4 linked regions of the Struthio camelus genome follow. The protein of the gene in region 2 binds, or shares a complex with, the protein of the main gene of each other region. Links are inferred from orthologs where the notes say so. Each region holds a gene or a part of one and is shown on either strand. Other genes may lie near its edges.

Region 1 (7,998 bases), on a different chromosome or scaffold from region 2:
GAAAGTGGGGGCACTGGGAACACTGGGAGCACTGGGGAAAGTGGGGGCACTGGGAACACTGGGGGCACTGGGGACAATGGGGACAATGGGGGCAAGGGGAAAAGTGGGGGCACTGGGAACACTGGGAGCACTGGGGAAAGTGGGGGCACTAGGGGCACTGGGGGCACTGAGGGCACTGAGGGCAATGGGGGCAAGGGGAAAAGTGGGGGCACTGGGAACACTGGGGGCACTGGGGAAAGTGAGGGCACTAGGGGCAATGGAGGCACTGGGGGCAATGGGGGCACTGGGGGCAAGGGGAGAGGTGGGGGCACTGGGAGCACTGGGGGAACTGGGGGCAATGGGGGCACTGGGGGAAGTGGGGGCACTGGGAACACTGGGCGCAGTGGGTACTGGGAGCATTGGGAACAGTGGGAGCACTGGGGGCAGTAGGTAGTGGGAGCAATGGAGGCATTGGGGGATACTGGGGGCAGTGGATACTGGGAGCACTGGGGGCACCGGGTATTGGGATCACAGGGGGTACTGAGCCCTGGGAGGGCTGGGGGAACTGGAGGCCATAGGGGAACCCTGGGCACTGGGAGCACTGGGAGCACTGGGATTGGCTCACGCCCCCCCACCCCCCACGGTGTCACGGCGGGCAGGGGCGGCGCATGCGCAGTGCCGCGCTCCGGGCACGGACATGGCGCCGCGCGCGCCCCGCGGCCTCGCTCCCCCTCCGCCTTGCGCGCGGCCCAAAGCCCTCCGGCGGGGGAAACCGGGGCGGCCCTGACGTTCCGGGCGGGGGACTGCGGGGCGTGGCCAGCGCCCGTGGTCCGATCGAGGCTATTGGGCGCCCGGGGCCGGCCGCGGTGGCGCCAGCCAATGGGGTGACGGCAGCTCGCTACAGTGTTGCGCGGCGCCGGCACGTGGGTGGTCCGAGGCCGGGAGCGGGGCTGGCCCGGCCCGATCCTGCCCCGTCGGTGCGGGGGTGCTGGGGCTGCTCGGGGGCCGGGTCTTGCTTGGGGGCCAAGCCGAGCGCTTGCCCGGGGCTTTGCACCCAGCCTGGGTTGGTGCTGCCGGGGCTCGGGTCGTGTCCCCGAGCTGAGTGCGTGGCCGGGGACGGGTCGCCACCATGTCCGAGGACAAGGCTCTCACCATGGTCACCTGCACGGCCCCTGTCAACATAGCTGTCATCAAGTACTGTGAGTACCCGAGCGTCCCGCCCCCCGGCGCGGACCCCTCCTTGCCCCGGGGGCCGGGGCAGAGCTGCCTGCAGGGCCCCGAGCACGGCGGGGCTCAGCACCGGGGCGAGCACGGGGGCTGCCCCTCGCTGTGGGGCGATGCAGAAACCGCAGCGGGTTGTGTCATCCCAGAAGGGCCCCCGGGACCCGTCGGTCCCCTGGGCTGTCCCCAGGGCTGTGACTCTCCAGGGTTTCCCCCTCCCCTAAATCCCTGGGGAACCCCCCCCCCCCGAGCTGGGACCCCTGAGGAGGTGGGCACGTCCATGGGGCGGCTGCCTGGATGGGCTCGAGGACGGCAGGAGCAAAGCCCTTGCCGGTGGGCTCCCATCGCTCCCCTGCAGCGGGCTCCAGCGAGCCCCAAAGGCGCCGGCTTGCGCCAGCCTTCACCGAGGAGGGCGAGAGGCCGTGCCGTGCCGTGCCGTGCCAGCCCCGTGGCAGCCGGTTCGGCCCGGAGCGGGAGGGCACGAGCAGCACGGGCTGGCACCAGGCCCCCACGCGCACCCCACCCGCGCGTCTCTTGCAGGGGGCAAGCGGGACAGCGACCTGATCCTGCCCATCAACTCCTCGCTGAGCGTGACGCTGCACCAGGACCAGGTTGGCACGGCGAGGTGGGGGGCCTGGCTCAGAGCAGGGGTCCTTCTTGGCGGGCAGAAGCCGGGTGCAGGAGCTCACACGGCACCAGGGACGTGGCGCTCGCAGGGAACGGGGGCTCGTTTGCTGCCGGGGCCGGGGGCGGCTGGCTGGGCGGTCGGACTCGCCGCGCCGTGGCCCAGCCTGACAGCCTTTGGCGCTGCCCGGAGCTGCGGGAAGGTGTGGGATTTTGGCGTTCAGCCCCCGTTTTGCCTGCCTCTCCTGGCCTTTCTGCCTTCCCCGCCTCATCCTTGGGTGCGCGACGCCGCCCTGCGGCCGGGCGACTCTGGGTTTGCAGGACGGGCCGCTGGCGCCCTTGGGGGGCTGCGGGCTGCCCCAGCCCCTCCCTGCGCCTGCTCAGCGTCCTTTGCCCCCCGGCCAGCTGAAGACCACCACCACCGCTGCCATCAGCCGGGACTTCAAGGAGGACCGGCTGTGGCTGAACGGGGAGGAGGCTGACGTGGGGCACCCCCGGCTGCAGTCCTGCCTGCGGGAAGGTGAGTGCCCTCCCGTGCCTCGGTTTCCCCAGGGAAAGGGGGCAGACCCTGCCCCGTGAGCAGGCTGGGAGGGGAGAGCGACGGTGCCCAGGCGCGGCACCGTACAAACCTGCCTCGCCGTCCCCGTCCCTCCCCGTTCCCGAGGCCTAAACCCCCCCCCCACGACGACTTCTGTGCCATCTCAGTGCGGCGCCTGGCCCGGAAGCGCCGTGGCGGTGACACCGCCGAGGACACGGCCCCGCTCAGCCTGGCCTACAAGATCCACATCGCCACGGCGAACGACTTCCCCACGGCAGCCGGCCTGGCGTCGTCGGCAGCCGGCTACGCCTGCCTGGGTGAGCGCGCGCCGGCGCCGGGGTGCGGGTCGGGTCGGGCCGGGCCGGGCCGGCAGGCGGCCCCGGGGCGCTGGGGCTGACGCGCGGCCGTGCCCGCAGTGTACGCCCTGGCTCAGCTGTACGGCGTGGAGGGCGAGCTCTCGGAGGTGGCACGCCAGGGCTCGGGCAGCGCCTGCCGCAGCATGTTCGGGGGCTTCGTGCAGTGGCACAAGGGCGAGCGGCCGGACGGGAAGGACAGCGTGGCGCAGCAAGTGGCACCCGAGACGCACTGGCCGGAGCTCAGGATCCTCGTGCTGGTGGTGAGGGGCTGGGGAGGCGGGCTGTCCCCGTGCCCACCTTCGCGGGGCTCGTCGTGGTTTGGAGAGAGGGTGCTGAGAACACCCCAGCCCCGGCCCCCGGGGTGCCTGCTCCCCCTGCAGACCCTGCGCGAGGCTGGGGGCAGCCGCCAGCGCGGTGCCGGGGTCTGGGATCCCCGTGGTGGGGATTGGGGCTGGGGGCTCAGGGTGCCGCGTGTCCCACCGCCTGCCCCCCATGCGCCAGGTCAGCGCGGAGAAGAAGCAGGTGGGCAGCACCGCGGGGATGCAGACCAGCGTGGACACCAGCCCCTTGCTCAAGGTAGGGGGCCGGGATGCCAGGGCCCGTCCTGCCCCCCGGGGCAGCTCCCTGCATCCCGGTCCTGTGGTGGGTTGGGGTCACGTCTCCCTTGGGTGGTATTTTTAATTCTTGCTGGGGGGCTGGCGTGGATGGAGGGCACTGCCCTGGGCAGAGGGGGGGCCGTGGGGCTCAGCGTGGCGCCTCGGCCTCGGCAGTGCCCTTGGATCCAACCCTGGGAGGGAGCAGGGTGCAACCCGCTGCCGTGGCCCTAGTGCAGCCGAGGGGGCGATGGGCTGAGAACAGCCCCGAAACCGGGGACGGGGGGCGGCGGCTGGCGCCACGGCTGACCCCGGCCCGCGTGTCGCCGCAGCACCGCGCGGAGGCCCTGGTGCCGGAGCGCATCGCCCGCATGGCACAGCACATCCGCGAGCGGGACTTCGAGGCCTTCGGCCAGCTCACCATGCGGGACAGCAACCAGTTCCACGCCACCTGCCTCGACACCTTCCCCCCCATCTTCTACCTCGACGACGTCTCGCGCCGCCTCATCGCCCTGGCCCACCGCTACAACGCCCACCACGGCCGCACCAAGGTAGGAGGTGGCCGGCACGGGCCGGCGCCAGGGCTCCCCCCCGCCCCGTGGCGCTGGTGCCCACCCTCCCGCCCCTTGCAGGTGGCCTACACTTTTGACGCCGGCCCCAACGCTGTGATCTTCACGCTGGCCGACACCGTGGCGGAGTTCGTGGAGGTGGTGAAACGCAGCTTCCCTCCGGCGCCCAACGGGGACCAGTAAGTGCTGTCGGGGCTCCCGGTGAGGCTGGGGGAGAGCTGGGGTCCCAGGGGCTGGGGGCTGCGAGCCCTGCCCGCCGTGGGTCACCCCGGGGCCCCCGTGCTGGGGGACGGGTGCTGCGGCGTGGGGCTGAGCGCTCGGCCGTGCCGGCAGGTTCCTGCAAGGGCTGCCGGTGGGCTCGGCCTCGCCGGCGGAGGAGCTGCTCACGGCCGTGGTCCAGGAGCCGGTGCCGGGGGCCCTTCGGTACATCCTGCACACCAAGGTACGCGGGGGGCCGGGTAGGCCAGGGGGCCCCGTCCCCATCCCCAGGGGTGGTCCCGCAGTGCCGGCCCAGGCTGGGCTGCCGAACGGGGTGGCCTTTTTGGGGACAGGATTCCCAGGTGCCGTCCCCGGGGCTGGCTGTCCCACGGCCTGGAGCGGGGATCCCCGGCGGGAACAGCCCCGGCTCCCCACTAACACCTCTCCTTGCCCCCAGCCCGGCCCCGGACCCCAGCTCCTGGACGACCCCAGCCAGCACCTCCTGGGGGCCGACGGGCTGCCCCGAGGCAGCGCCTGAGCCCCCCGCCGTGGGGCCGCGTTCGTGGTGACGCCGCGCCGGATGGCCGCGCCGGACGGCAGTTTGGGGGGGTCCGGCCGTGCCCATAGCCCCTCCAGGGAGACGGGGCAAGGACGGAGCTTGGCCGCGCGCTGCCCCTTGGGCTTGGTGCCCTGTGACCTGCTGCAAAGCCCCCTCCCCCGGGGCAGGATGTGCCCCCCCCCCCCCCGGGCCTGGTTTTTACTCTTTTGTGAACAAATAGAGGTTTTTCCCATCTGCAGCCGTGTTTCGGGGTGTACTGGTGCGGTCGCGGGAGAGCCGAGGGGGCCGTGGGGCTGCCCCGTCCCCCCCCCCCCGGCGCGTTCCTCCACTGCCCCGTGGGGGGGCGGGGCCGGGGGCGGGGCGTCGCGGAGGGGGCGGGGCGGGGCAGCCGCTCGGCTACATTGTAGCGCGCCGCTTCCGCCGCGGCCGAGCCGAGCCGAGCGGGGCCAGGCCGGGCCGAACCGGGCCGAACCGGGCCATGGGGCAGATCGAGTGGGCCATGTGGGCTAACGAGCAGGCGCTGGCGGCCGGGCTCAGTGAGTGTGCGGGGCGGGGGGGGGCCGGGGCCAGGCCCGGGTTGCCCGGCGTGGGGAGGGGGCTCCGGGGCTCCCTGCCGGCCCCGGCCCTCGCCGGGGGCGTGAGCGCTTGGGCCCTTGCTCCGCTGGAGCCTCCAGCGGCTGCTGACGGCTTGAGGAAGCCCCCAGCCCTCCCGCCCGTGGGGTCGCCGGGCTGGAGCCTCTCTCTTTCCCCTCCAGCCCGTTGCGCTCAGTTGTCGTAACTGAACCCCGTGGAGAAGTCAGTCGCCCTGGGTGGGCCTTGGGGGTGGAAGGCGCTGAGGAAGCGCAGGGGCCGCCAAGCCGCGTCCCTCCGAGCCGCCTTCGCCCTCTGCTTGGGGGACGAGTCACCGCCTGGGAGCCCGACGGGCAGGAGGGCGGCGGGATGGGGCGGCCTTGGCACGGGGAGCGTCGCCGCCTTCGCTCCGTGCTCCCTGGCCCAGGCGGGCGGCTTCCTCCTTGCCGCGGGGGCCGAGCTGCCGGCGTCACCCAGCCCAGGAAACGGGCACCCTGCTCCGTCTGGGTCTCGGGGTGCATCTGTCGTCCGCCAGCCCTCGTCCTTCGGCTGCGTCGGGCAGCCGGGCGAGCGGGGTAGGGCACGGCCTCGTGGCCGAGGGGAAGCTGTCAGTATGCGAAAGCGGGGACGTGCGGGGCCTGCCTGCCTCCGCGCTGGCCCCGCGGCGCCAGTGCTGCTCCCTTGGCGCCGGCCGTGGCGTGACCAAGGGGTGCTGGGTCCCATGAGGCTGGCGGGGTTTTCCAGGGCGGTGCAAGCAGGAGGTGTGATGCTGCCCAGGACGGCCTGGGAAAGTCCCATCCAGCCTGGGGATTAGCAGGACTAGAGCCTCCTCTTCCTCCTCTTTCCGGGCGTCCTGTCTGTACAAGGCAGCTGGGAGTGGAGCAAAGCTCATGGGCGGAGGTGTGCAGTCGCCGGGGAAAAAAAAAAACCTCTCCCCAGAGTCCTGCAATTCCCCTCGCTCAAACCAGAGGGGGTCCGGCATGGCAGAGGTCCCCGGGGCAGGGCCCTGCTGGGCCACAGGACGTAGCCTGCCTGGCTGACCCTGCTGTGTCCCCGCAGTTATGTTGACCGGAGGGATCGTGGCCGTGGCAGGGCAGTTCAAGGGCTGGTATTTCGCGGCGTACGCCATGTATCCTTCCGGAGGTGATGCTGAGGACCGGCCGGGCTGTTTGCAGGGGAGCCAGACAGGGATGAGTTGCTGGAGCATAGCAAGTAGCCTTTACTTTCACTTTCTTTTCCCAAGTTCCTCTTCTTTACAAGTTTCTTTTCCAAAATCACCATTTTCTTGTCCCAAATGGCTCTTTTCCTGCAGGTCCTGAAAGTGCATCATGACCTTCACGTTTCTGCAAAACTTCCCTGGGAGGCTGGGGGTGCTGGCCCCATTACCTGGGGATGATGAGGGTGGGGGTGGGGGGTGCTGGTCCACTCTCTGCTGCCCCTGCATGGCTTTGTCCCTGTGTCACGCACCCTGCTCCAGCCCTCCCCCCCCACCCCGCTTTTTCCAGTGATGGTGATGCCCCTAATCGTGGCCTGCAGACCCTGAGCATCCCTTTCCTTGACGCTGCCCCCACCTCAGCGCAGCAGGCGTCTTCGTCTGCCTACTCGAATACCCCAGGAGCAAGCGGAAAAAGGGCTCCACCATGGAGAGATGGTAGGTGCTGCCCCCCTGGCACTGGGAATTTGGGGTCCTGGTAAAAGGCCCCCACAGCATCAGAGGGTGCACGGTCAGGAGAGGGGCATGGAGATGGCTGGGAACAGCTTCTTCCAGGCTTTCTGACCTGGGCAATTTGCTGACATGAGCAGGGCCAGATCCTGCAGGCAGGTTTCCTGGGGTGCTGGTATCAATGGGGGGTGCAGGAGGGCAGCTATGAGGGAGCATGGGGATGGGTCAATGCGAGAGGGAGGTCCTGGGAGGGGGTCTCTCAGCGCTGAGTGCCGGCCTGACCCCTCTGTGTCACTCTATCTTCCCGTACAGTGGCCAGAAGTACATGACGGCTGTGGTGAAGGTGTTCGGGCCCCTCACAAGGAATTACTACATCCGGGCCATCCTACACGCCGCGTAAGTGGGCCGAGGGGTCTGTGTGGGCCCCGGGCTGCGGGTGCAGCCCCCGCCTCCCCGACCGGCCAGCCGGCCGTGCGGTGCCCCGCTGAGCGCCGTCTCTCCCCATGCAGGCTGGCCGTCCCCGCCGGCTTCCTCCTCTCCACCATCCTGGGCACCGTCTGCCTGGGCATTGCGAGCGGCATCTACTTGCTGGTGAGTGCTGGGCTGGTGGTGGCTGGCCAGCATCCTCTGTCCGTCTGTCCATCCATCCCGGCCAGCATCCTCTGTCCGTCCTGGCCTGTCCCCCACTTGCTTTTCCTGGCTGAGTCTTGGGGTGGGGAGGGGATGCACAGCGTGGCGGTTGGGGCAGAAGCCCCCCCCCCGGCAGGATGCCTGGGTCCCGCTGAGCTCTGTGCCACCCACTTGGCTGTCCGGGCTTTGCGCTGAGGAGTCATTTTTGGTGGGGGGGGGGGAGGGCAGTTCTATGCTGAGAGCTGTTCTGGGGGGCTGGCCGTGGGCGAGGGGCTGGGTGGGGGCACGTGCTCCCCTCCTCACAGCCTCGGTGGCTTTGCAGGCGGCGGTGCGTGGTGAGGAGTGGAGGCCCATCGAGCAGAAGCCCCGGGAGCGGCCGCACGTGGGTGACACCATCAAGCAGCCACCCACCAACCCGCCGCCCCGGCCCCCCGCCGACGCACGCAAGAAGCCGCCGGCGGAAGCAGGAGGCCAGGTGAACCCCATCGCCGTCGAGGC
Region 2 (7,249 bases):
TCCTCCTGCTACATAGGTAGGGGCAGCAGAAAGATGGTTCAGCAACACCGTCAGAAGTGCAGCAGTCGGGTCTCCTTCACTCTGTTCTGCTTGTCATCCTCCTTTGGGGTTTATACATGCAAAAATCTTACTTTGTCCCCTTTAGCAGGCAGGTGTGAAACACCTGGGCCTATTGCAACTGCCTCGCATTTTAATTTGTGCAAGATTTAGCATGGGATACTGTTACATGAATTACAAGAGGAACTAAATTAATTCATAGCCAAGGGGGTAAAATTACTGCAAGGAAATAAAGAACCCTGAGACCTGAATATTTTTGCAAAATTGCCATCCTGAAAAAGAATCACTCTCCATTGAACTTTTCCACACAAAAAAAGGGTGAAAAGTGCTGTGAACAATCAGCTAGCTTGAAATAAATTTTAGAGACAAAGATAGAAAATGTTTAATTTTTTCATATTCATTTTACACACTCCTACATAATTATTAATCAAAGCTAGCAATGTTGCCTTTTCTCCTACATGACGTATTTTTTAAAATAGAACAAAGTACAAAACATGCAAGTCTATCTCCACAGCAGTGACTTTTTACTTGTTTAGAACGTGCGAGCATGGCAATTAAATCAAGTGTGATGTGTGGGTGGTTTTGATACCAGTTCTGCTCACACCTGTTACTTATAGCGGCCAGGCATGGTTTGCTATGCGTTGTCCTAGATTTTTTTTACCTGGTCCTTTATCACCAGCTGATAGTTTTCCAAAGCTAATTTACACTGTGTAAGGGCAAAGGGTATTTATAGAGCATTAAAAAATAATTACACACGATACTTTTTCCATTCTTATTGGGAATATCATGGATGAGGTGATTTCAGAGCTGGGACTGAGCTAAGATCAGCACCTCTTGGGTTTATGACTTGCCAGAAACCTCCTGAGCCAGTGAATCCATGTTTTAGTGGATCTAGAGTCTGAGGAGCTGCCAGGCAAGTCAGGGCTGCTAATGCTTGGAGCGTCCTGGCTGCACATGATTGCACACCCTAGAGAAGCCATAAGCAATTCAGCTTAAAGCAGTGATGAAAAGGGAGCACTGCTGTTTCTGAGCAGGGAGAAATCACTAATCTTACAGTGAGAATGGACATCCACAGGTCAGGACCAACCCCTTTTATTCCCTGACTGCTCAAGATGTTTAGCTCCCAAGGCTCCCTCCATAAACACTGGACTTAAATATGAGGAATCAGACCCTCTGCTGACATCGATTTTGGAAGGTCATCAAAGCAACTAACATCACACAAGAGCTTGGACGACCACAGGGCTTGTCAAAAGAGGTTACTGGGAACACCATTGACTATGTAAAGAGATGGAGGACTGCTCTTTTCACCTAGGCTAACTTTGAACTGTTACTTCTATACTTCTCAATAAGGAATAGAATCACAGAATCACACAGAATCACAGAATGGCTGAGGTTGGAAGGGACCTCCGGAGATCATCTAGTCCAACCGCTCTGCTCAAGCAGGGTCATCTAGAGCGTATTGCACAGGATCGCGTCCAGGCGGGTTTTGGATATCTCCAGCGAAGGAGACTCCACTACCTCTCCGGGCAACCTGTGCCAGCGCTCTGTCACCCTCACAGTGAAGAAGTTTTTCCTCAGGTTCAGATGGAACTGCCTGTGGTTCAGTTTCTGCCCGTTGCCTCTTGTCCTGTTGCTGGGCCCCACGGAGAAGAGGCTGGCCTCATCGTCTTGACACTCCCCCTTCAGATACTTGTACACGTTGATGAGATCGCCTCTCAATCTTCTCTCCTCCAGGCTGAACAGGCCCAGCTCTCGCAGCCTTTCTTCAGAGGAGAGAGGCTCCAGTCCCCTCATCATCTTTGTAGCCCTCCGCTGGACTCTCTCCAGTAGTGCCATGTCTCTCTTGGACTGGGGAGCCCAGAACTGGACACAGTACTCCAGATGTGGTGGCCTCCCCAGGGCTGAGTAGAGGGGCAGGATCACCTCCCTCCACCTGTTGGCAACACTCTGCCTAACACACCCCAGGATACCACTGGCCCTCCTGGCCACAAGGGCACACTGCTGGCTCATGCTTAACTTGTTGTCCACCAGCACTCCCAGGTCCTTCTCTGCAGAGCTACTTTCCAGCAGGTCAGCCCCCAGCCTGTACTGGTGCATGGGGTTATTCCTCCCCGGGGGCAGCACCCTGCACTTGCCTTTGTTGAACTTCAGGAGGTTCCTCTCCGCCCACCTCTCCAGCCTGTCCAGGTCCCTCTGAATGGCAGCACAGTCTTCTGGTGTGTTAACCACTCCCCCCAGGTTAGTATCAGCAGCAAACTTGCTGAGGAGAGTGCACTCTGTCCCTTCCTCCAGGTCATTGATGAATACATTGAACAAGACTGGACCCAGGACTGACCCCTGGGGGACACCACTAGCCACAGGCCTCCAACTAGACTCTGCACCATTCACCACAACCCTCTGAGCTCGGCCATCCAGCCAGTTCTCAATCCACCTCGCTGTCCAGTCATCCAACCCACACTTCCTGAGCTTACCTAGGAGGATGTGATGGGAGACAGTGTCAAAAGCCTTGCTGGCTTTATTGAATAATGATTTAGAAGTCATCTGTCTCACTCAGATACCTTTATTCATTTGTTTTATAAACATGGAGACATCTATGATTTTATTTTTGCCGTGGATCTTTGTTTAAGTCCCAGTTATGTTACTTTACAGCAGTCATATTCCAGGAGAAATTTAACAGAGGGAATAAGTTAGGAGTCAAGGCAGGAAGAGATCAGTTAGCAAGAACACAGGTATTTATGTTGCCTCTCCTAATTCTCATTTCTACATCATAACCAAATGTCTTATCCCTACCAGAAACGGATTCTAAGAAAGCTAGTTTCTAAGTGAATCCATAGCAAGGCAAGTTGTGCTGAGTATTTTTGCTGTCTAACGTGAATCACGCAGTTTTTATGTCTGCCTCTACAGCTCTTGTTAGCTATTCAACATCTTGGTCCCAGCTGCAGGTCAGATCAACAGTTACGCTGGACATCAAGCCTATGCTATTCGAGTTGGACAAGAAGCTTCCTATTTACTCCAGTAAATGTGGGACCAGGGCCTGGAAAGCATCTGTATGCTGTAAAGCTGTTAATACTGCGCATGGCCACGCTGTGCTCTGTGAGACTTTCTAAAGCAGTGAAATTCTGCAGGACAGGAGCACTCTGAATAATCTGTTATAGCTCTGGCAAAGAGAGCTCACTGGTAAAACAGTTTTTCTGCATAGCCCTTGGTTCAAGAAAAAATAGAAGTTTACTTTTCTCTTTAAAGTATAAAAAGATCTTGAAAAATACATTGATACTACACCTTAATCTTTGAAAGGAGGCAGACTTGTATTACTCATCTTCAGCAGAGATCTATATTTCTGTGGTGCAATGGGTGAAACATAGGAGAAAAAGTGAAGAGGAAGCCTATTTAGAAGCATTTCTCCTCTCTGGGGCCCTGACCTTGCCAAAGGATGTTCCCACTTAATCCCCAAAGTTTCCTCCAGTCTACCATTTTGTGCTCTTTACTGTCAGTTTGGGAATTGTCATACCACAGAGACGAGACCTTCAGAAATCATTAAACTCCCTCAGGAAATCATGATACTATTTTTGAAAAATGTATACACTTGGGACAATGTCCTTTGGCTTCTAAGCTCTAAAATATACTGGGGTAATTTTCCATATATTTCTCTATAATTACGAAAGCAAAATGCTTGCTTTAAAAAAATTATTCTCACATAGTGAAACAATATCCGGGGCTGGGACCCTATGAAAAATACAAAATATGAAAAATAGACTATCTAGAGCCAAGCAGAGAGAAAGTGGCAAAACTTGTGTATATGTACCAGACAACAAAAGTGTTAGATTACATTTGGGGGCTTCTGTGGACAGTGAATTACTGCAAGATAAATAATTCTAGTGATTAGTCATCAAAGAGGATCATCAGGAATGGCAAATATGACCTGAAGTGATTAAAAAAAAAGACAAAGCTGGAGAGGAGATGATTCTTCCATGCGTTGAAAGTTGTATAAAGTGGCAATACATTTTTGAGCTGAAAACCCCAGCAAAACCCAAACTTTGTACCACATGAGAAAGAAATGGTTTGTTTGAATAGTTTATGCATGTCTGAGTTATTAAAAGTTCCATGCAGAGGTGGTAGAAAAATGTTTGAAATTGAACCATGGATCTGATTCCATGGTTAACTGATTTCCTAAATAAATGAGAAAGGAAACAGGTTGCTGCAAGCTTCTACTCTCACTTCCTTGTGAGAGAAGACATAGACACTGTCCCAGAAAGGACGGGACCATTGTGTACACTCTTCTCAGGCAGTCATGGGTAACTGGGTGGAGAATGAAGGACTGTCCATCTTTGTTGTTGTAAGTACAATTTTTATTATGCTTTGTGTCTAGTAAAAAGTTCTACGGAAAATTTTAATAAGTAGATCTCATTGCGCCTGTGAGTGATGCAGCTGATTATTCTGAAACTAGGGCAGCAGACGTAGTTGCATTATACTTGACAAGTATAATTTTTAAGGAGCTCTAGCTGGAATCCTGATTGCTGTAGGCTGCATTGTCAGCTGAGAAATTATCATAAGTTAACTCTCATTTGCTTTGTTATAAATGCTTAAGTGTCTAGGTTTTTTGAAGCAATAATGACTTAAGGAAAAAAAATAGCATTACATCTCACTGTTAACTATTTGCATTTTGAAAGAGAAAAAAAAAAACTAAAACAAGCCTTTCTTACACTTTTATAAACAAAAATGCATGTTACTGAGAGCACAGTGAACATTTCTTGGTAGCAGAAAATTTGTTTTTGTAGTCAAATTCCAGGATTTAGAGCAGAGATTCATGAATCTCTCATTAAGACAACCTATATTTGAACTGTGCTTGTATAGAGCTTGCATGGAGCTGCTACAAAACTGAGTTTGATTAGTTCCTGGCAGGATTTAAAAGTAATTGAAATCCCACTTACATTTAAAAGAGCTAAACCGTAAGGCAGATCTCCTCCTTGGAGAAAAGAAGTTAGTATTTCAGTATTCTTTTTTTCTTCACATTACAGTGCCTTGGGAAGAAATTAATGATATGAAAGTTATAGGTATTCAATATTGTGTAATAGCAAAATGTAAAACCAATTAAGGGATTGTTGTCAAGTGTGGTTAATTAGGTAGATACTGAGAGGAATAAAAAGAAGACATAGAACTACATTTGTGAAGACTGAATGTGAACATCTTTATTCGAAAATGTATTATTTCTCCTGCCACAAATGATGCTTACATATTACATTGTGGAAGCATAGCTCTAGTTTAGCCACACAACACTGACAGTTCAGTGCTTTGAAAGGGCTGTATTTGCTGACACCCAGTGACTTGAGGAAGTTGAAACTGCCAGGAGGTGAATTCTGCCACATTTTTCCCATCAGGACTGCAATATTAACTGAATTAAGTAAGAGCTTATTATTTTGTTCAAAAAAGGAATTGTGTACAGAATCTCAGAGCTATACGAGGTTAGCTAATACAGAGGGAAGGAAAATAAAGAAGTCACTGATAAAGAAACCAGCTAAGAGGACAGTTCATCAGAGGCCTTAAGAGAGTGTTCCGCATTGTCCATTACAAGTTTATAGTACATTCATTATCTACAGGGTGGCCCAGTGCTTGATAAAAACAGGACAGCCACAATTTTTATTATTTTCCTCAAAAAAATAGAAATAGTCTTGATTTTTTTTTTTTTGGCCTGACATGGCAGCCTTAGCCCTAACATATGCTGCCTCCACTGGCCCTAACCAAAGAGGTGGTAGCTGCTAACTCTGCAACTCAACCAAAGTTGTCACAGGGTGTCACAGTGTTTCTCAAGGGTTCCACATTCCTTATGAGTTAGCACCAAGAAGTGTGAGGCTTCATCATGGATCATGCCAAGCATCTCAGTCTTCTGGACATGCTGTCAGGCTACTGTAAATGGGAGTGGCACACTCTTACTTTAAATTTGCATCCTAAGCATTTTATCCTGAGCTGAGCTTAATTTTGAGGGTTTGTGGATTTCTCATATACTGACTTATGCTGTTGGAAATCCCTTCACTTCCCTGCCTTTACACCTTACAGGTGAGACATTTTCCAGATCTAAAATAATCCCAAGCTTTTTGCACTGTCAGCTGGGCCAAGAAACTAAGCGAGACTAGCACTTTAAACTTTGGGCTAAGAAGGGCAAAAGACTGTAGTGTCACAGTTTCTGTCAGCCTGAACTTAAAACCAGCGATTACAGGTCTACAGGTCTCATTCTTTGTCTCTTCCATCTTCACGCACCACCTAGTAAATCCCCTTAGAACAGAGGTGCAGTGATATAGATTGGTTTCACCGGGGGGTGTGAAGTCAGCCAACTATCTCCAGAAGGGCGCATGGCCCAATTCATTATGGTCTCTTGGGCTGGATGTGCTTGTAACTGCATTAGAGAGCTTCGAGAAGTGCTCATAAATTCTTTCCCTAAAGAAATCTGCCCTGTAGGCTGTGTAAGTACAAGAGAATATTGCAGCACAGCTACTAAGAAGCCCAGTTAGCCTAAACTCCACCAAAGTGCCTGTGTTGAATATTTCCTGCTGGCTGATTTCAGACCTTCAGAGGCTCCTACTCAATTGAAAACATTAAACTCGGGCCTTGGGTGTAATTTTGGCCATGTATATTTAGACCTCAACCTTCTTTGTCCTTTGGCACAGCTCCAAAGCTTGGCTTTGGCAGCTCCAAAGTCTTCCTCTTATATGGGTTAGTGTGTCTGAGGAATTCCCGTTAAGAAGAGGACCTAGCCTTTAAATGATTTTTAGAGACTCAGCTAAACTCACAGACTTAGCCAGATTCTTAGTTTATATAATCATATCATTTGAGCTATACAAAGGTTTCAGCTACCAGTTTTCATGCTGTGTTTTCTTGCCACTCCTGTACTCCCATGTATACACCTCAAAGCCTATTTCCACCAGTAAAATATATATTGTCCCTCCTGATCTCTTCACACCTTGAAGGGCACCTTTCTGTGTGAATAGGAATGCAACGCACTAATTGGTCATTTTCTGAACTGTGTAAATTGAGACATACAGTCTTTAACAACAAACTAAAGTTTCCTGTTTGCTTCTCTTTCAGCTTGTGTGGCTGGGGTTAAATGTCTTCCTCTTTTGGTGGTTCTATCTTGCATATGATCTCCCACCAAAATTCTTCTACACCAGAGTCCTCCTTGGCGTAAGTACAAAACATATAT
Region 3 (6,892 bases), on a different chromosome or scaffold from region 2:
TTTTTACACTATCAACAAAGATAGGCTTTTGCTTTCGACTTAGATACTGTAACACACTGTTTGCTGAAAGCAATTGAACAGCGCTGCTGGCAGCAGGAAGTGTCATCTGAGATTAAGAGAACAGATCTCTGAATCACGCTTAGGTGTTCTGTTTTTTTTTTCACTGATATGTTTCCCCCTATGTACAACAGGCATACTACTTTGTATCTCTACATCTCAGTGATTTGTGGGTGGCTTTATTAGCTAACACGTGAAAGAATACAGTAATAGTTTGGGCTGGGAGATGCTATAAAATTGCGAATTATTATTGTCTCTGTAATCCTGATAGTCTATGTCATGGTGAGTAAAACTTTCCAGTATTGCATCAGTGTGATTATCCTGCCACTCCCCACCCAAAAAGGAACATAACCTCCTTCAGTGCCAGCACATACACAATACTCACATGCAGGCAGTATCTGAGACAATATTAAATAATTATTTCCTCTCAATGTCTAAGAAAAAAAAATATCAAAAATTGCAATAGATAAGTGAAGGTAGGGTGATAGATTATAGATCAAAATTAGGACTGATCTAAGCCTCAAGTTTATGATTCATGACCTTATCAGAATTATGCAAAGGTTGCTTACAGTTACTACCATTCATGTTTTCTTTTTACATACTCCTCTCTGCACTGCATTTTTAACTGTATTCTGTACACTACTCAGCAGTGCAATCACATCTATCAACCAGCTATTTCTCTATGAAATTGTTTGGCTTTAACTGCTCACTCCTTTGCCCTGCCTTTCAAACTATTCTCTAAGTTCCTTATCTTCTGACAAACTTAATGTTTTACGTGTTCCCTGTGACCATTTCTTCTTGCAGTCTCAGGGAAAAAAACATGTCTGCAGAGCGTTACACATTTGTAGCACCATCTAAGTTATTTGTTTCTCTTTAAAACCAAGTATACTACATAATAGTTAGCAAAAAAGAAGTAGTATAAAAAAGAAGAAGCTGAACTATACTAAAATTAATTAACAAACAAATAATTAATGCATAATATACTCAAAGTACACACAACTACCAGTTTGTCTTGCAGAGCATCTAAGAATAGTTACCTTAACAAAGGTATCAGCTAGGATTCCAAATGCAAAGTTTTGAACTATTCCAAAAGATTTGCAAACACATGGAAACAAAACTGGGTGCATCTATTACAGTTATCATCATCATATATCAAATTTGTAGTATTGTTTTTAGTGACTAACAGTGAATATTTATGTAGATATTTTATAATGTTAGTCTTTATATACTCAATTAAAATAATCAAAGCATATTGTGTTCTAAGTTATTTTTTATCAATGCAAAACAATTGATCCCAAAAGAATCAGATGGAGGAGCACTGAAAAGAACATACGTAAAAAGATATTGCTTGTCTCATGACAGGATCGTGAAAACAATTTGTGCTAACGTAAATGTTTTTTTCCATCATAACCTTTTCTCCATTACAGTATTTTTATGCTGTTAAAGTCATTTTGTATTTTTAAATGACAGTCGGTTTCTATAACCGCAGCAAAAAATACAGTTAAATTACCATTTAACTAAAGGCAAAATCAAAGCCAAAGTTGAACATCGCAAAAACGTGTTGTAGTTATTATTATTTATGAAGTATAAACCACAGAAGAATACTGCATGTTTTAATATTGTAAATTTTGTTGTATCTCTTTTTCACATTAAAAAACCCCATAATCCGTCTGATAACACTGGATAATGTAAGAACCTGCAGAAGAATATGTAGGTGGTGGGAAAATTGAAAGTAGTTTTACGTGTCCCTTGAATCTTCCTGTGTTCTGTGTCTCCCCAGGCCCATGGCATAAATTAGACAGGCTTCATGTCTGCTCTGTTTCTATGCAGCATCTCAGAAGCTCCAAAAGCGTTGCAGCAGCCAAGAACAGCAAGAGCACTGTGATACTGCCCACACCTCTCTCCCGCAGCTCCCGGCTGCTGGGTAGGGAACGGTTGCCAGGTCATCGCTAGCAGCAGAGTGTTGGTTTTAAGGATATTTAGCTTAAATGACAACAGCCATTTCAACTTCCATCTGTATGAGGGGATAGGGACATGCAAGTGTTCCAAAAAAAAGTGTTGCAAGAGCTTTTCAGGTTACAGTGATCTTTATGATGTTTTCCTGACTGAAGTGAAATATATGAGAATTTTCTTTGCTCAGCAAAAGAACAAAAAGAGTAAGTATCATGGAATGCCCTGTCCACCAGTGAGGTTGCACTGTACTGTTATCATATTTGCTTAGAAATGTTCAGGAAGTAGTATGAGATCAAATCACTGGAAAAACTTCCAGGGTGGTATAGTCCTTTATACTGATTTCACTGGATTCATCAGCCCCTGGCAGAGGCAGCATGTGTATGGGCCTTTTCCTCACGCTTTCTTTGAGGAATGGCTGGCAATGTAGACAAAGAGAAGAGCAGTCCAATGAGAAGCTTCTCTGCGAGCAGAATCACCGCGAGAACAAATGGAAGAAATGAAATAACTCCGGAGATCATTGGACCTGCTCTGCTTGACTTTTAAATTATTCTATTAACCTATGTGTTCCAGTACATAAGTATTTACTTACATGCTAGAGCACGCCTGTCACTTCAGTAATTCATAAAAATATCTGTTTTCTTGTGGAAAAGAGAGCTCCAAAGCAATGAAATCTAAAGCATCCCAGAAATGAATAAGTGTTAACACTAATATTATTCCTGGGTGGATATATTTATAATTTATATGCCTCTTGCTTTGACCCTGCAAAGCTGGTTCATAAAATACAAGCCAAAATAATAGAAAATACTGTGGTGCTAATCTTTATTTTTCTTAACACCTTTGGAGTTCAAAACCGTTAAGAATAACTAAGCAGAAATACACATATCACCGCGCGTCACATCTCTCGGTGTTGTGCCACGTTGTGTGGGGTGGCAAGCTGTGGCTGGAAGACCATGGAAGAAGTAACTTGGAGACGTGCGCGGTGCCACAAGCCCAACGGCAGCGACCTCCCGGGCAGCGCTCGGGGGAGGTCGCAGCGGGCCGTGGCGGCGGGCACGTCTCTCCGTGAGCCCTCACCGCCCCTCTCGCGCAGACTGCCTGTGCCGGCCTGCTCTAAAACTTGCCGGCAGAGTTCATGAAGGCTGTAGCACGTGAGGAGGAGGAGGGCGGCACAGGGCTCCCTTGAGGACGAGAACGTCCTGACAGCCCTGCGCTGGCTCGCGGTGTGACGCGCAGTCCCACCGCCCACGGCCGGCTGGCCAACACCGGGAGCGGCCCACAGCCGCACGCCGGGAACCTCACGGAGTTACATCCGCACGGCAAACCTGTACTTTGGCGCATTGTGTCAAGGAAAGACATAATGTCCCTCACACGGTCTGCAGGGGCAAACGCCATCCCACCTTCGCAGGCCTCGCGAGGCGCGAGGCGCCACGTGGGCGCTCGGATTGCGCCAGGCTGGGTCAGGACCGAGCCGCAGCACCCCAAAGGGGTGCCGGGAGCCAGCTCTGGGTTCGAGAGCGCTTCGCCCCGACGTGACGGCGCCGGCGACAGCGCCAGGCCGATGCGCCCCGGCGGGCTGCCGCCGCGACATGGCCGCCCTGCTGCGGCCTGCGCGCCTCCGCCGGGCCCGGCCGCCGCACCGCGACGCCTGACGGCTGGGCTGCGCTCAGCAGAGCCAGCGCATCACACCACATTTCTGATTAAAAGAACCCAAAAGGATGACCCTGGGGGCCTGCGCGCTCCCGCGGCGGCGGGCCAGGCGGCTCCGCGCTCCCGCACTGGGTCGGCAGCACACGCACGGCGCAGCCGAGCCCTGCCCAAGCCCCCAGGGCGCGACGCGGCGGAAACACCCGAGTGCTGCCGAAGCACTCCGAAGCCGGGGCGGTGCGGCGGAAACACCCGAGCGCTGCCGAAGCACTCCGAAGCCCGGGCGGTGCGGCGGAAACACCCGAGCGCTGCCGAAGCGCTCCGAAGCGGCGCCGCCGCCTGGCCGGAGAGGCACGAAGCGGCTCCGGGGGCGGGCGGGGCCTCGCCGAGTTGGGGCCCGGGAGACGGAGCGGCGGGGCCGAGCCGGATGTGACTGGAGCGGTTTCCTGTTCCACTGCAGCCCGCCCCTCTCGCCGCCTTGGGTGGTGGCCGCTGCCTCGTCCCCCGCTGCCAGGCACAGCGCGGAGGCGGCCGCGACCCGGTGCGCAGACCGCCGCCGGCTCCCTTCTCGCGCGGCCCCGGCCCGAGCAGCCCCCGCGGCGGCGCAACCCCGATGCAGGCCATCAAGTGTGTGGTGGTGGGCGACGGGTGAGTGCGAGGCGCCGCGCGGCTCGGCGGCCTGAGGGGAGGTGGGTGGAGTGGGGTGGGGTGGGGTGGGGTGGGGTGGGGGCGGCGGCCCGGTCCGGTCCGGTCCGGTCCGGTCTGGCTGCGGGGCTGGGGCGCGGCCCAACCGCTGCGCAGGGCGCGGGGGCTGCCCGGGCCCGTGTGGGCGTCCGCGCTGAGGGGGCGGGCGGCGGCTTCCTGCTGGGGGCGGGGGCGGGAGCGCGGGGCCCGGCGGGGCGGGCGGGCAGCGAATGGTGGCTGCCGAGGAGGGGGAGAGGGAGGCTTCCGCGGGGGCGTAACAAGCGCGGGGGGCCTGCAGCGCCGGCTCCGCACCCGAGCCCGCCCGGGAGAAGGTGCGCGGGCGGCGGGTGAGCCGCCCGGCTCGTGCGGGCAGAAGCGGCCGCCCTAGGCGCGCCTCGGTGCGGGCCGGCCGCCTCGCCCGGCTCCGCGTCCTCCTCCGGCCGCTCTCCGAGGTCTCAGGCGCACCGGGGTAGCCCTAGCGCGTTACCAATCGTTTTACGATGCCCTTAGTGACAGGGGAAATCTGGTGCTGGTTTGAAACGCCTTTACTGAAAGTAACTCCGGGAAAAGTTTCTCTTGTTGCTGCTTGTAGCTTGGTTTTTGACATCGCGTTCTTGTAGTAGGGCTGGGGGAAACGCGCTAAGCTCGACGCGGGTCGTAAATGCTGGTGGGCAGAGACTTGTGTTTTGCACGCTTACACCTAGGCCTGTACGGTTCCTCTGTGAAGGAGACAGATAAAGCGATTGCAGTACAAAAATACTTGTCTGTAAGGCTCTGTTACACCTATGGTGTTCTGATATGGTATTACTTACAACCGAAACAACCTGAGAATGCTTTTTACAATCAGATTAAGTCTGCGTTTAGCTGCTGGGTTTGGATCTAAAGAACGCTGAAATTGTGGTGGAGAAGGAGTTTGTGTGTTTGCTGCTTGTGAATGTTCTCCACCAAGCTATCCCCATCAGCTCAGAGGCATTCTTTTTCTTGCTGGATGTCAGAGCTCAGGGGAGCATCATAGGCCAGCTGGAAAACAAGACTAGTCTTATGCAGTTTGAGAGTTTTTTTTTTTCTTTAGTAGAAACAAAAATCCCAGTGTAGTCTGAGCATAATTGGTATCACAGCAAACTTGTGTAGATGACAGTGAAATGTAAGTGTAGCTAAATGGTCTTGCCACTGCCTGTGTAATTTCACATGGTGGCTTAATCTTTAAGTTACTTGGCTTCGAAGATATAGACTCCCTAAAAAGATAGCTTACTGTGATTGAAAGATAAATATATTCAGCCTAAAAAAAATGTTTTGACTTTTCTTTGTAAGATGCTGAGCAATGAGGATGTGACAGTGAAATCCTGACAAATGAAGACTTTCTATAGTAATGTCATTCATTGATACACGATATAGCTATGTTATTTTGGTTACACTGTTTTTTAACTATTTTATTTTCCTGTCATCTCAGATTTTTTTTCATTCAAGTGAACAACATTGTCTGTGACTGAATGATGTAAATAAATGCAATGCATCATGCTTGGGTGGGGAAAAAGTTTATCTACTTCCTCTAATAGATTTGAGAACTCAGCATAGAAAAACTATATGATGTACAGTAATTCATTCAATAAAACAGTTTTACTCATCATTTGCTTTGTAAATACCACCCCGCTTCCAAACTTATTGCTCTTTGTCTTGGTAATGAAAATGGTGTAATTCTACCTGAGTTTTATACATATGTGTGAATAAAATGCAGTCATTCTAACTTGCTTTCCTTCTTTCTCAGTTAGAAACAAATCTCTTTCAAGATGCTACTGAGATATCATTGCTTGTTTTTGGTAACTTTTTATGGTCTTCCATTGAGCTTTTTATATTCAATCATTTGCTTCCCTGTTCTGCTGCTTCAGAAGTTCAAGCTTTACCAGTATTCTAGAAAAGGTGTAATGTTTGGCTTAGATAAGGCTAAAGCTTTAGTGTTTCTGGAAAACAATACAAGTTAACGATTGCTTACATAATGTAAAACTCAGGTACTGTTTTACAAAGATCTGCTAGGAACAAAATAAACAAGGCTATAGAAGTACCTGTGTGACAATTTTTTGAAATTGTAAATGGGCAGGCTGTTTCTGATAAGTATCTCATGTTTGTTTTCCAGGGCTTTGACCAGTATCAGTTTAGACATGTAGTTTGGCTCAAAGCATGGCATATGTGCTAGTTGTGCTATCCTATTTTGCCCTGGTTTGCTTCCTCACTGTGAGAATTGTTTGGGGAAAAATAGATGGCAACTGTTGCTTTGGCTTCTTGATACAGACAAGTAAGAGTGTGCAGGACATCTGAACAGCCCTCCACTTGAATAACTCTACAAGAATTGCTGTTGATTGAGACTTAAGAAAAAACATTGGTGTAAGTTATTTTTAGAATGGAAGCAAAAGCTGCTAACTTTAAAAAAGCAGCTGTTCAGTGGTATGGCATCTCAGGGGATGCCTTGTCATGTTAGGGGAAGTCTTGCATGTTGCAGAAATGATAACTAGATGCCCCAGAAATGGTCCCTGTTTGAAATTTTACCTAATTTGTGGCC
Region 4 (7,646 bases), on a different chromosome or scaffold from region 2:
TCTCTCCGTTATTTTTTACGGAATAACGGTTCAGAAGTTACTCAACACATAAATCGGCAGCAGCATCTTATTTAGCCAATATGCTATGATTTCCCATTTCTGTAACGAAACACAAATATCGCTGAGGCTGTCGCCACACAGGCATCAAGGTGTCTCACCTGTAACAAAATTATTGCACGTGCACATGCACATCACCCTTCCAAAACCTCTCAGGCCCCCAGAGTATCAGTTCAGATGTCTATGCATTTATCTGAAAATGCCTGTCTTTCTAAGTAGCAAGTTATGATATTTAAACACAAAGGTTCAGTTCACGTTTTGCTCATTCTTTTAACCCCCCACCCTAAAGAGACACGTATAAGCATACACCGACATCTGCGCAGAGAAGTTTTTCAACTATAAAATGGCTTTTTTAGGAACAAAACTACCAAACTTCTGAAAACATGCTATTTTCAGCTTAAAGTGCAACCTCCCTTTATCACATGCACTAGGTAAATCTCTTCCTGTTACAGCTTAGGTCTAAATACTTTAATCCACAAAAATATTTGTTAGGCATAAATGATAATGCTGTACAAAACTACAGACAGTCATGACTGCCAAAGTTTGTAACCCAAGAACATAACTCCCCAAACGCTTGTTTCACTGCACCTGTCTGTAAGAGGCATCACAATCCAGAGAAGCAAACGTCTGTTGAGACGGCTGTTAAAAGTTTAACGATGTAATTACATTAGCGTCCTTAAAGATAAGGCCAGGGCAGAATGTAAAACAAAGAAACACCATTATTTTTACATGCCCAGACTATAGGTGGAAGTTACCTTATCCTTGAGGTCAAGGACACGGAAATTTCTACCTGTATCATCATAACGAAAGCAAAAACAAACACTATTTATTACCAATTAAGAAAAAAAAAAAAAAAGATAGTCCTATACGCAGACCCTGGAAAAACTAGCATTCATTTTAGCTCGAGGTAAAAATTGTAATAGTGATAGTAATCCCAAATTCTTGTGCTTCTACTTTCTTTACTCAGAATGCTTTTGCATTTGCACTTGGTAGATTAATGCAAGTTCTTTTAAGGCACTGCAGTCACTCTAAAACAATCCCGATGCAACTTAAGACTTTGGGTTTCCTACAGAATTACTAGAATGCAGCACTAGCTAACATTCAATGTTTTCTGTTCCTTTGGATGAATGTTTTCATACTAAAAAGCTGTGTCCATCTTGCAACTTATCCCACATGGACAGAATGGTGTTGATGCATTATCGATTATAGTGATAGCACCGACGCAAGTCCTAATTTAGAAGCGTTGAGATTTGTACTTAAAAAGCATGGCTAACATCCTTCCGGTTCACTCTTGAGGATTATGCTTACTTATGACATTTATTATCCAGACGTGATACACTGATTCTTCAAAAGATATGGCAGTTTTAGATAGTTTTATATCCCTGCAGATATCATTTAAAAGATGATCATTTAAAAATATTAAAATATTAATTTCCCATCTTATTTCTTTATAGTCCTAGTGCAAAACCCATGATTACATAAAAACCTGAAACCTGTATAGAAACATCTGAAAACAGCTCAAGTGTACTGACACACTCCTCTGGTTTAGGAATACCTGAACTGAATTAATTTCAATTTAAGATTTCCAGCAATAGAAAAAGAACAGCAAAAACTTGTAATTCGAAATTAATTCGGTTCAGTTCAGGGCACACAAGGAACGAATGTTTTCAATGTAAGCGGTAAGGTTATACCTGTGTAATCATTAGATAATTAGATGTCCCTTATATTTTATTGCCAAGAGTAATTTCTGCTTTCCAATAGCTATTTATGACATTTTCCCACAGAGCATCTGTTATCAGTTACCATCATCACAGTGCCTAATAATCTAGAAAAAGAGATCACCATCCAGTTTTAATCTGCCCCTGGGGAGGTAATAGTACGTACCTTTGCTAGATTGCAAAGACACTTCTGAAGAAAATCACAGTTTGTAGCACTTAAGAGCATTATTTTGCTTTTATGATCCCTTTTGCTATATTTAACATTTACGCCTGTGCCTAAAGCGTTCATACCAAGAGTGAAATGGAAAACTAAGCATTCCTCTATGAAAAAACAGTAGATGCTGTAATCCATTTTCAAAAGCTTTAAAGGTAATGCCTCAGTCCTGCAACGATTATAAGCTGTAAATGCCTCAAGTCAGTGATGGCCGACGCCACTCAACAGCTGCCAGAATTTGCCAAGAGCAGCAGCTAAAAAACATGTACTCCATGAAATGAGTGCTCTACAGGCTTTATACGCAATGTTCCCATAGAGATCAGTGGGGCACCATGCCCAGCTCAACGGGATGGTCTCATTTATAACTGGCATCCTAAAGCCAACTCAGTCCCGTCACAATACACACACTACACACATTGTTTTAGTGACTGCTTCCAACCAATTGGTTAAAGTCAAACACACCAGAAATTTTATGCTGGCATCTTAAGATTACACACTTATTGTACTGCTGAATTCCTAAGTTTTAAGATCTTCAGTCATGGGAAAGGAGTTAGAAGAGAGTATTTAGAAAAATGGCCTGAAATTAGAAGACAGGAGTAGAAATATAAGTAGTACCAAACTACTGTAAAATAAAGGACAGTTCTGTTATGTGTGCATGTTGTTGTTCTCGGATCAATGACTGAACAGTTACAAGTATATTTACTATACAATGCATTACAATAAAGATCTATTTTTATAATACAGAACAAGTAATCTACAAATAATCAATTACATTTTTTCTATGTGTTTCTTTTGGCAAATAGCTTTTGTTTCTGCAGCCACGTGTTTTGGAATTTGTGTTGTTCTTCAAGTCCACGTTCAGGCTTTTAAAATGTGTTTCTTCTTCCTTTTTTGCCTTGGTAGGGATAAAATGACTTACCTATTTCAAAGTCGTGTAGTAAAATGAGGGATTGTTGCAGAAAATAATTTCTAACTTCATAATTAAATTAAGTCATACCAGGTATCATGCTGTGGCCTTTGCCAAACTGAAGCAGCACGTGGTTGCTAATATTTTTCACAGATAGTAATGCAAGAATAAAACAAATCCTCACTTGTATGCTACATGGTGTATACTGAGTGGAGGGGACGGACGAGGTTCTTGTGTTTCACGAACGCTGCTCTAGACACAAGAAACCTTTTCTGTCTTGTACCACTCAAAGTAGTTCAAGCATTTGGTTTCCAGAGAAACTGGTTGTTTGTAAAACCTGACTGACCACAGCTCATAGAAGAACTCTTTTCTTCTCAGAAGACTCAGAAAGTCAGCTGCTTGTTTGGGTTCAGAACAAAGATACTTATTACTTCTTATTTTTCATCAGCAAAATCCATCAGCAGCTGGTACCTCCTGACTCACAAGCATGCCAATTCAGCCTTGCAGTTTCTCATAGCTCTTCAAGCAACACAAGCATTGCAGGTCACTTTGTATTTTCTGCAACTTCCAGTCAGTTAATTTCTTAATGCGGGGGCTGAGCTCCTTCCCATCGTTAAATAATTCACTCTGGCCTGTTAGAAAAACACTGCCTCTTCAAAAACCCAGTTACTGCTGACCAACAGCAATGTTCAGGAACAGCTGAACAAACTTATACCATTTAACGGCCTCGAGCAGGCACTCTGGAGCATCTGGATTCTTTTCATGAAAAGAGCCAGAAATTGAGCACATCATTCAAGGACCGCGCTCCTGAACAACAGAGAGGACCGAATCTCTTTCACAGATAAAGTGACGTATTGGCTTACATAATGGGGATTAAAATAAGTTAAGCTAAAGGACACGTATCTGCACTTTACCCATTTTGTCTCAGATATTACACAAGCAGACACCCTAATGGATTGAACAGAAATGGTTTTTTCATGTTATTAGTGTTTAACAGAACTAGGAGGAACACGTAGAATTTTTCAAGTGTAACCTATTATCCACAGCAGGAAGGACACTCAATAGTTCACCTGACTTGGAAATTCTCCTCCCCAAACAACAGATTTTCCAAGCCTATGCCTTCAAGTGACAAATGATCCCCCAACGTTATGCCTCTGATAACATTAATTTTAAACCTATAAGATTTATTGCCGTGGTTATTTCTTTGCATTCCCCTCGGCTGGTTTTTGAACTGCAGCATTTTTTTTTCAAGATTGCATACACTGTTATAACAACCATCCAAAAATGGATTGCATTCAATTATTATAACTACCATAGCTATGAGCACTAAAAGCTAAAGCTTTAGAACTACCAAATATTATAGAAAACAGAAATTGCCAACACTGTTATAAATTAGTACAGGCAAAAACAACAAAAACCCTCCATGGTATCCAGAGTTATATACTTAGAGGAATAAGAAACTTCAAAAAATGTCAACTCTCTCTTACAAGTGTGCAGTTACTCAAACATCCATCCATCCATCCATCCACCCCTGACAGCAGGTGCCCAGGGCACAAGCCCACCAGGCCTAGCAACTCTCCCTTCCACACATCCAGCCTAGCCCCACAGCACTCAGCCTCCCTCCTCTGCAATCACGCGAGTTTTCCTGCCCCTTTATACACGGCTGAAGCCAAACAACCTAAAGAGACCTCAAAGCTCCTATTTGGGCAGGAGCCTCAAGCTCGGCCGCCATCTTGACTGCGGGCAGTATGGCGGCCAGCTTGGGTGAGGCTCTTCCCTCCCCGCTTACACACTAAGCCAGAGCCGTTGCCGTGCGCGAGGAGGGAAGGTCTAGTTGCGCACGTGTTTGCCCTCACTGAAAATGGCCGCTGGCGTCCGGCATTCTTCTTAAGCAGCGCGTCTCGATGGTGTGTCCTAGCGGCCGGTTTGGCGCTGCTCTATGGTTCGGGGCGGCGGGGCCCCGGAAGTGGCGGTGCCCGGGCGTCCCATTCAAAGCGCTTCCCCGCGCGTGTGCCGCCGCGGGGCCGGGCAGGTAGTGCCGCCGCGGGGCAGGGGGGCTGGGCTGGGCTGGGGGCGCCGCCAGTCCCGGCGGCCGTGTCCTTAACGGGGCGGCGCTGCCAGGGCGGCGGTGGCCGTTGGCGCGTCCGGCTGGGGCTGGGGCTGGGTCGGCGGGGAGCTTGCCGCGGGGGATCCCCGCGGAGCCCGTGTGCTCGCCGCGCCGCGCTGACAGGAAGCGGCAGCGCAGTCTGCGTGCTGGGTTCTCCGTGGCTTGCGTGGGTTCCCCTGCCCGCGGCGGCCCGGGCGCGGGGCCGGGCGGCGGCGGAGCTGCGGCCCCACGGCTGCTCCTGCCTCCGTCCTCTGTGTCAGGAAGCTTTCAGCGTGCTTTTTTAGATAGCTTTTGGTAGCTCGCCCTCGTCCAGTAGCTTGGAGGGAGCGGATGAACGTTGACTTTCGGCTCTAGGTCCCTTTTATGTCGAAGCCAACAAATCGGGCTGCTAATGCTGTTGGTAAAGCGAAAACGCACCTTCCCCTGTGATCTCAAGCGTGCCCTAGTGAAACCTTCCCGCTCACGTGGTTCTAAAGGCAGCCTTACGGCTTATTATGTGTAACTTCAAGAAGCTGCTGCTGTGCTTTTTTATTCCCTGCGGCACTTCCCTCGCCAGCAAGCGCCTGTCCGTGGCACGCGCGCACCCACGCCCTGGCGCGTGGGCGACGGGGCTAACGGGGCCTCTGCCTGATGGCGCTCCCCGAATGAACAGCAGGGAGGGGAGAGGCTCGCGGTCACGCTCGGGGGCAAACACGCACACAAGTCGAGCGTGTCCCTTCTGAAGAAAGGCCAGGTTTCTGCAGTGACCTTCACGCGTCTGCCCCCTCCTTGACGCTTCCTGGGCGGCAGGAGGCTCTGCCTGCGCGGAGCGCGCCTCCCGCTACTCACTCGGGAATCAAGCCTTCGCCCCCGGAGGGGACGGAGCGCGTCTCTTTCCGTTTTACGTTCTCTCGGATGCACTGCTAAGAGCTACTGAAATCAAAGTCGTGTGTGTGTTTGATTTAAATGGCAGGTTTGGGCTAAATCTGTTCTGTTAAAGAAAAAAACCAAACTTCCCCTGGAGCTTTGTATCCAAGCTAGCCAGGCCGTGCAGAGTTGCGGGAGCGTCATGTAGTATCTAAGAACAGCGAGACGAGTAAAGGACTGAAGGTCGCGTGCTTTTGTTCCGTCAGACTGGGACGTGCTTGGGCCTGCTCGGTTCTAAGCGTTTTTCCTGTCTGTTTAAAGAACTGTTGAACGCTGGCATTCATCTGGAAACCCGCGACGCGGGCAGGCAATACCTGCTTAGTGCCCAGCTCCTGCTCGCTGATCCTGCAGCAAAGGAGCCAGCTACTTAATGATTAAATTACGTCTGTGGCTTGGTAGGGTTTTTGTTTTCTTTTGTGGTTTTTTTTTTTTTTGGCTAAGGGAAGGGGTTATCCACAATCATGGATTTCTCCTGTTTTGTTTTTAAGGCCAGCGTATACCCTGCTAACATTGTGATGCCATATTAACATGTGCTTTCCTTTCCCATCTCGCTTCTACTGATCAGGGTCTTCAATAATAATGTCAAGCATCTCTATCAGTTTACTGAAAGAGAAAAAAGCAGTAAGCAGCCTGCTTTTTCTCTGGTGATAATTAATTTTGGAAAGATCAGCTGGGTCCTCATGCCTATTGCTATGCCTTTAGTACAAATCACTTTTTATGCTTGTGCTGATATCAGGATGAAGGGGTTTTTTTTTTTTTCCACTGGAGTCCACAATCGTGCCAAAATTCAAATAGTTTTATGCTGTAAATACGTGCTAGAAATGCTGCATAAGTTTGTCCTGCTCTTACTGTTTTCAGTTAGTACCCTTTTTTAATCTCTAATCAGATTTTTTTTTAATCAGTTACTTTCTCTCTTGGTTGAAGGACATGGTCTTGTTGGGGCGAGTCAAGTATACTTATTGCTGGAAAATCTTGGTTTTATTCTGGAGCTGGCTTGAAACATGGGAATGCCGTATCTGGCGCCATCTGACACTGGTACCTCACTGTGCTGAGCTGCGGCCGCAGCTCTGAGAAACTCCGTATCTGTATTGAAGAAGGCTTCGTTGTCCTGCTTCGGCTGCCAGGCTGCTCTGTTACGGCTACCATTGCTGTTAGCAGAATAAATGGCGGTGTCAAAAAACTTCCATTACTCTTGCTACTTTCTGTTTTTGAAGAGTTGCTAATTCATGCAGCCCTAACATCATTCCAGGCTCTTGTTTTCCACATTTGCTTCTGAAACCTTTCCAGAGGGTGCTGCTTATGGTGGGAAGGAATTGCCTCTTATCCCCCCCCAATGGGAAGTCTCTTGGCGTGTGTAGATTCCTGTTGTCGTGTTTTGCAGATCTCCACATGACTGGACTGTCTTGTTTGCTTGTATTTAAGTATGCATTTTTCTTTCTGTGAGGAAAAAGACCACATGCCTACTCTGGACAGTTTTTATAATCTAGATTAAAACTTGATAAGAAGTCATGACAACTGCTAGGAAGAGAGAGAGCTGTAGTCAGCAACAACTTTTTTTTTTTTTTTTTGTCCTGTAAGGTTTCATGAGTCTGACTGGGCTGTTGGGAGCTTCTTCCAAAGATGTACATGTTGGTTGAAAACCGCACAAGTTTCCTTCTCCATCTGAAGAGGTCTCCTGGCATCAGATCTTGGTCTCTCTTTGTTGGTAAGACCGTGATTATTCCTCAGTTTATTTCA

Evidence for each region.
Region 1: the proteins of CYBB (region 2) and CYBA are in contact, whole or in part, in a cryo-EM structure (PDB 8X2L), measured with the Homo sapiens proteins. The link is inferred for Struthio camelus from reciprocal best matches to the Homo sapiens genes CYBB and CYBA. Residues at the interface, in NP_000388.2 of Homo sapiens: Thr116, Ile117, Leu120, Phe121, Val123, Glu124, Asn128, Asn133, Lys161, Asn162, Pro163, Gly166, Leu167, Ala170, Val180, Thr183, Leu184, Ile187, Leu188, Thr191, Ser192, Thr194, Lys195, Thr196, Ile197, Arg199, Ser200, Tyr201, Glu203, Val204; in NP_000092.2 of Homo sapiens: Gln3, Ile4, Glu5, Trp6, Met8, Trp9, Glu12, Gln13, Ala16, Ile20, Thr23, Val27, Gly31, Phe33, Thr34, Gln35, Arg56, Arg59, Met65, Gly102, Phe103, Leu104, Leu105, Ala106, Ile108, Leu109, Ala112, Cys113, Ile116.
Region 3: CYBB (region 2) and RAC1 share a complex: the UniProt entries of both Homo sapiens proteins name them as parts of the phagocyte NADPH oxidase complex. The link is inferred for Struthio camelus from reciprocal best matches to the Homo sapiens genes CYBB and RAC1.
Region 4: the proteins of CYBB (region 2) and CYBC1 are in contact, whole or in part, in a cryo-EM structure (PDB 8KEI), measured with the Homo sapiens proteins. The link is inferred for Struthio camelus from reciprocal best matches to the Homo sapiens genes CYBB and CYBC1. Residues at the interface, in NP_000388.2 of Homo sapiens: Trp28, Asn74, Leu75, Leu76, Ser77, Phe78, Leu79, Arg80, Gly81, Ser82, Ser83, Ala84, Cys85, Cys86, Trp206, His210, Phe212, Pro266, Met268, Trp270, Lys271, Ile273, Tyr280, Tyr324, Phe326, Lys328, Leu335, Glu336, Trp337, His338; in NP_001028218.1 of Homo sapiens: Arg22, Leu26, Ala37, Ser41, Gly42, Asp43, Trp47, Phe50, Tyr51, Phe57, Gln61, Asn62, Glu64, Lys77, His97, Asp98, Gln99, Val100, Val101, Val102, Leu103, Arg108, Ser111, Glu115, Val117, Arg118, Tyr119, Phe120, Arg129, Ala131.

Annotation. Positions count from the first base shown.
Region 1 is NC_090951.1:2,456,100-2,464,097, forward strand, and holds the start of CYBA (cytochrome b-245 light chain), read left to right. Parts: upstream 1-4,993; 5' UTR 4,994-5,115; coding exon 5,116-5,173; intron 5,174-5,444; exon of another isoform or gene 5,445-6,097; coding exon of another isoform or gene 6,098-6,107; intron 6,108-6,266; coding exon 6,267-6,336; intron 6,337-6,783; coding exon 6,784-6,858; intron 6,859-7,182; coding exon 7,183-7,266; intron 7,267-7,379; coding exon 7,380-7,461; intron 7,462-7,822; coding exon 7,823-7,998. Other genes in the region: MVD (diphosphomevalonate decarboxylase), read left to right, coding at 1,109-1,178, 1,741-1,811, 2,230-2,344, 2,530-2,679, 2,779-2,978, 3,220-3,294, 3,644-3,862, 3,944-4,059 and 2 more. UniProt on the Homo sapiens protein: Subunit of NADPH oxidase complexes that is required for the NADPH oxidase activity that generates, in various cell types, superoxide from molecular oxygen utilizing NADPH as an electron donor.
Region 2 is NC_090942.1:129,259,138-129,266,386, reverse strand, and holds the start of CYBB (cytochrome b-245 heavy chain), read left to right. Parts: upstream 1-4,248; 5' UTR 4,249-4,345; coding exon 4,346-4,390; intron 4,391-7,134; coding exon 7,135-7,230; intron 7,231-7,249. UniProt on the Homo sapiens protein: Catalytic subunit of the phagocyte NADPH oxidase complex that mediates the transfer of electrons from cytosolic NADPH to O2 to produce the superoxide anion (O2(-)).
Region 3 is NC_090956.1:9,200,356-9,207,247, forward strand, and holds the start of RAC1 (ras-related C3 botulinum toxin substrate 1), read left to right. Parts: upstream 1-3,879; 5' UTR 3,880-4,267; coding exon 4,268-4,302; intron 4,303-6,892. UniProt on the Homo sapiens protein: Plasma membrane-associated small GTPase which cycles between active GTP-bound and inactive GDP-bound states.
Region 4 is NC_090960.1:11,019,570-11,027,215, forward strand, and holds the start of CYBC1 (cytochrome b-245 chaperone 1), read left to right. Parts: upstream 1-4,631; 5' UTR 4,632-4,803; exon of another isoform or gene 4,804-4,928; intron 4,929-7,487; 5' UTR 7,488-7,529; coding exon 7,530-7,614; intron 7,615-7,646. UniProt on the Homo sapiens protein: Functions as a chaperone necessary for a stable expression of the CYBA and CYBB subunits of the cytochrome b-245 heterodimer. Controls the phagocyte respiratory burst and is essential for innate immunity.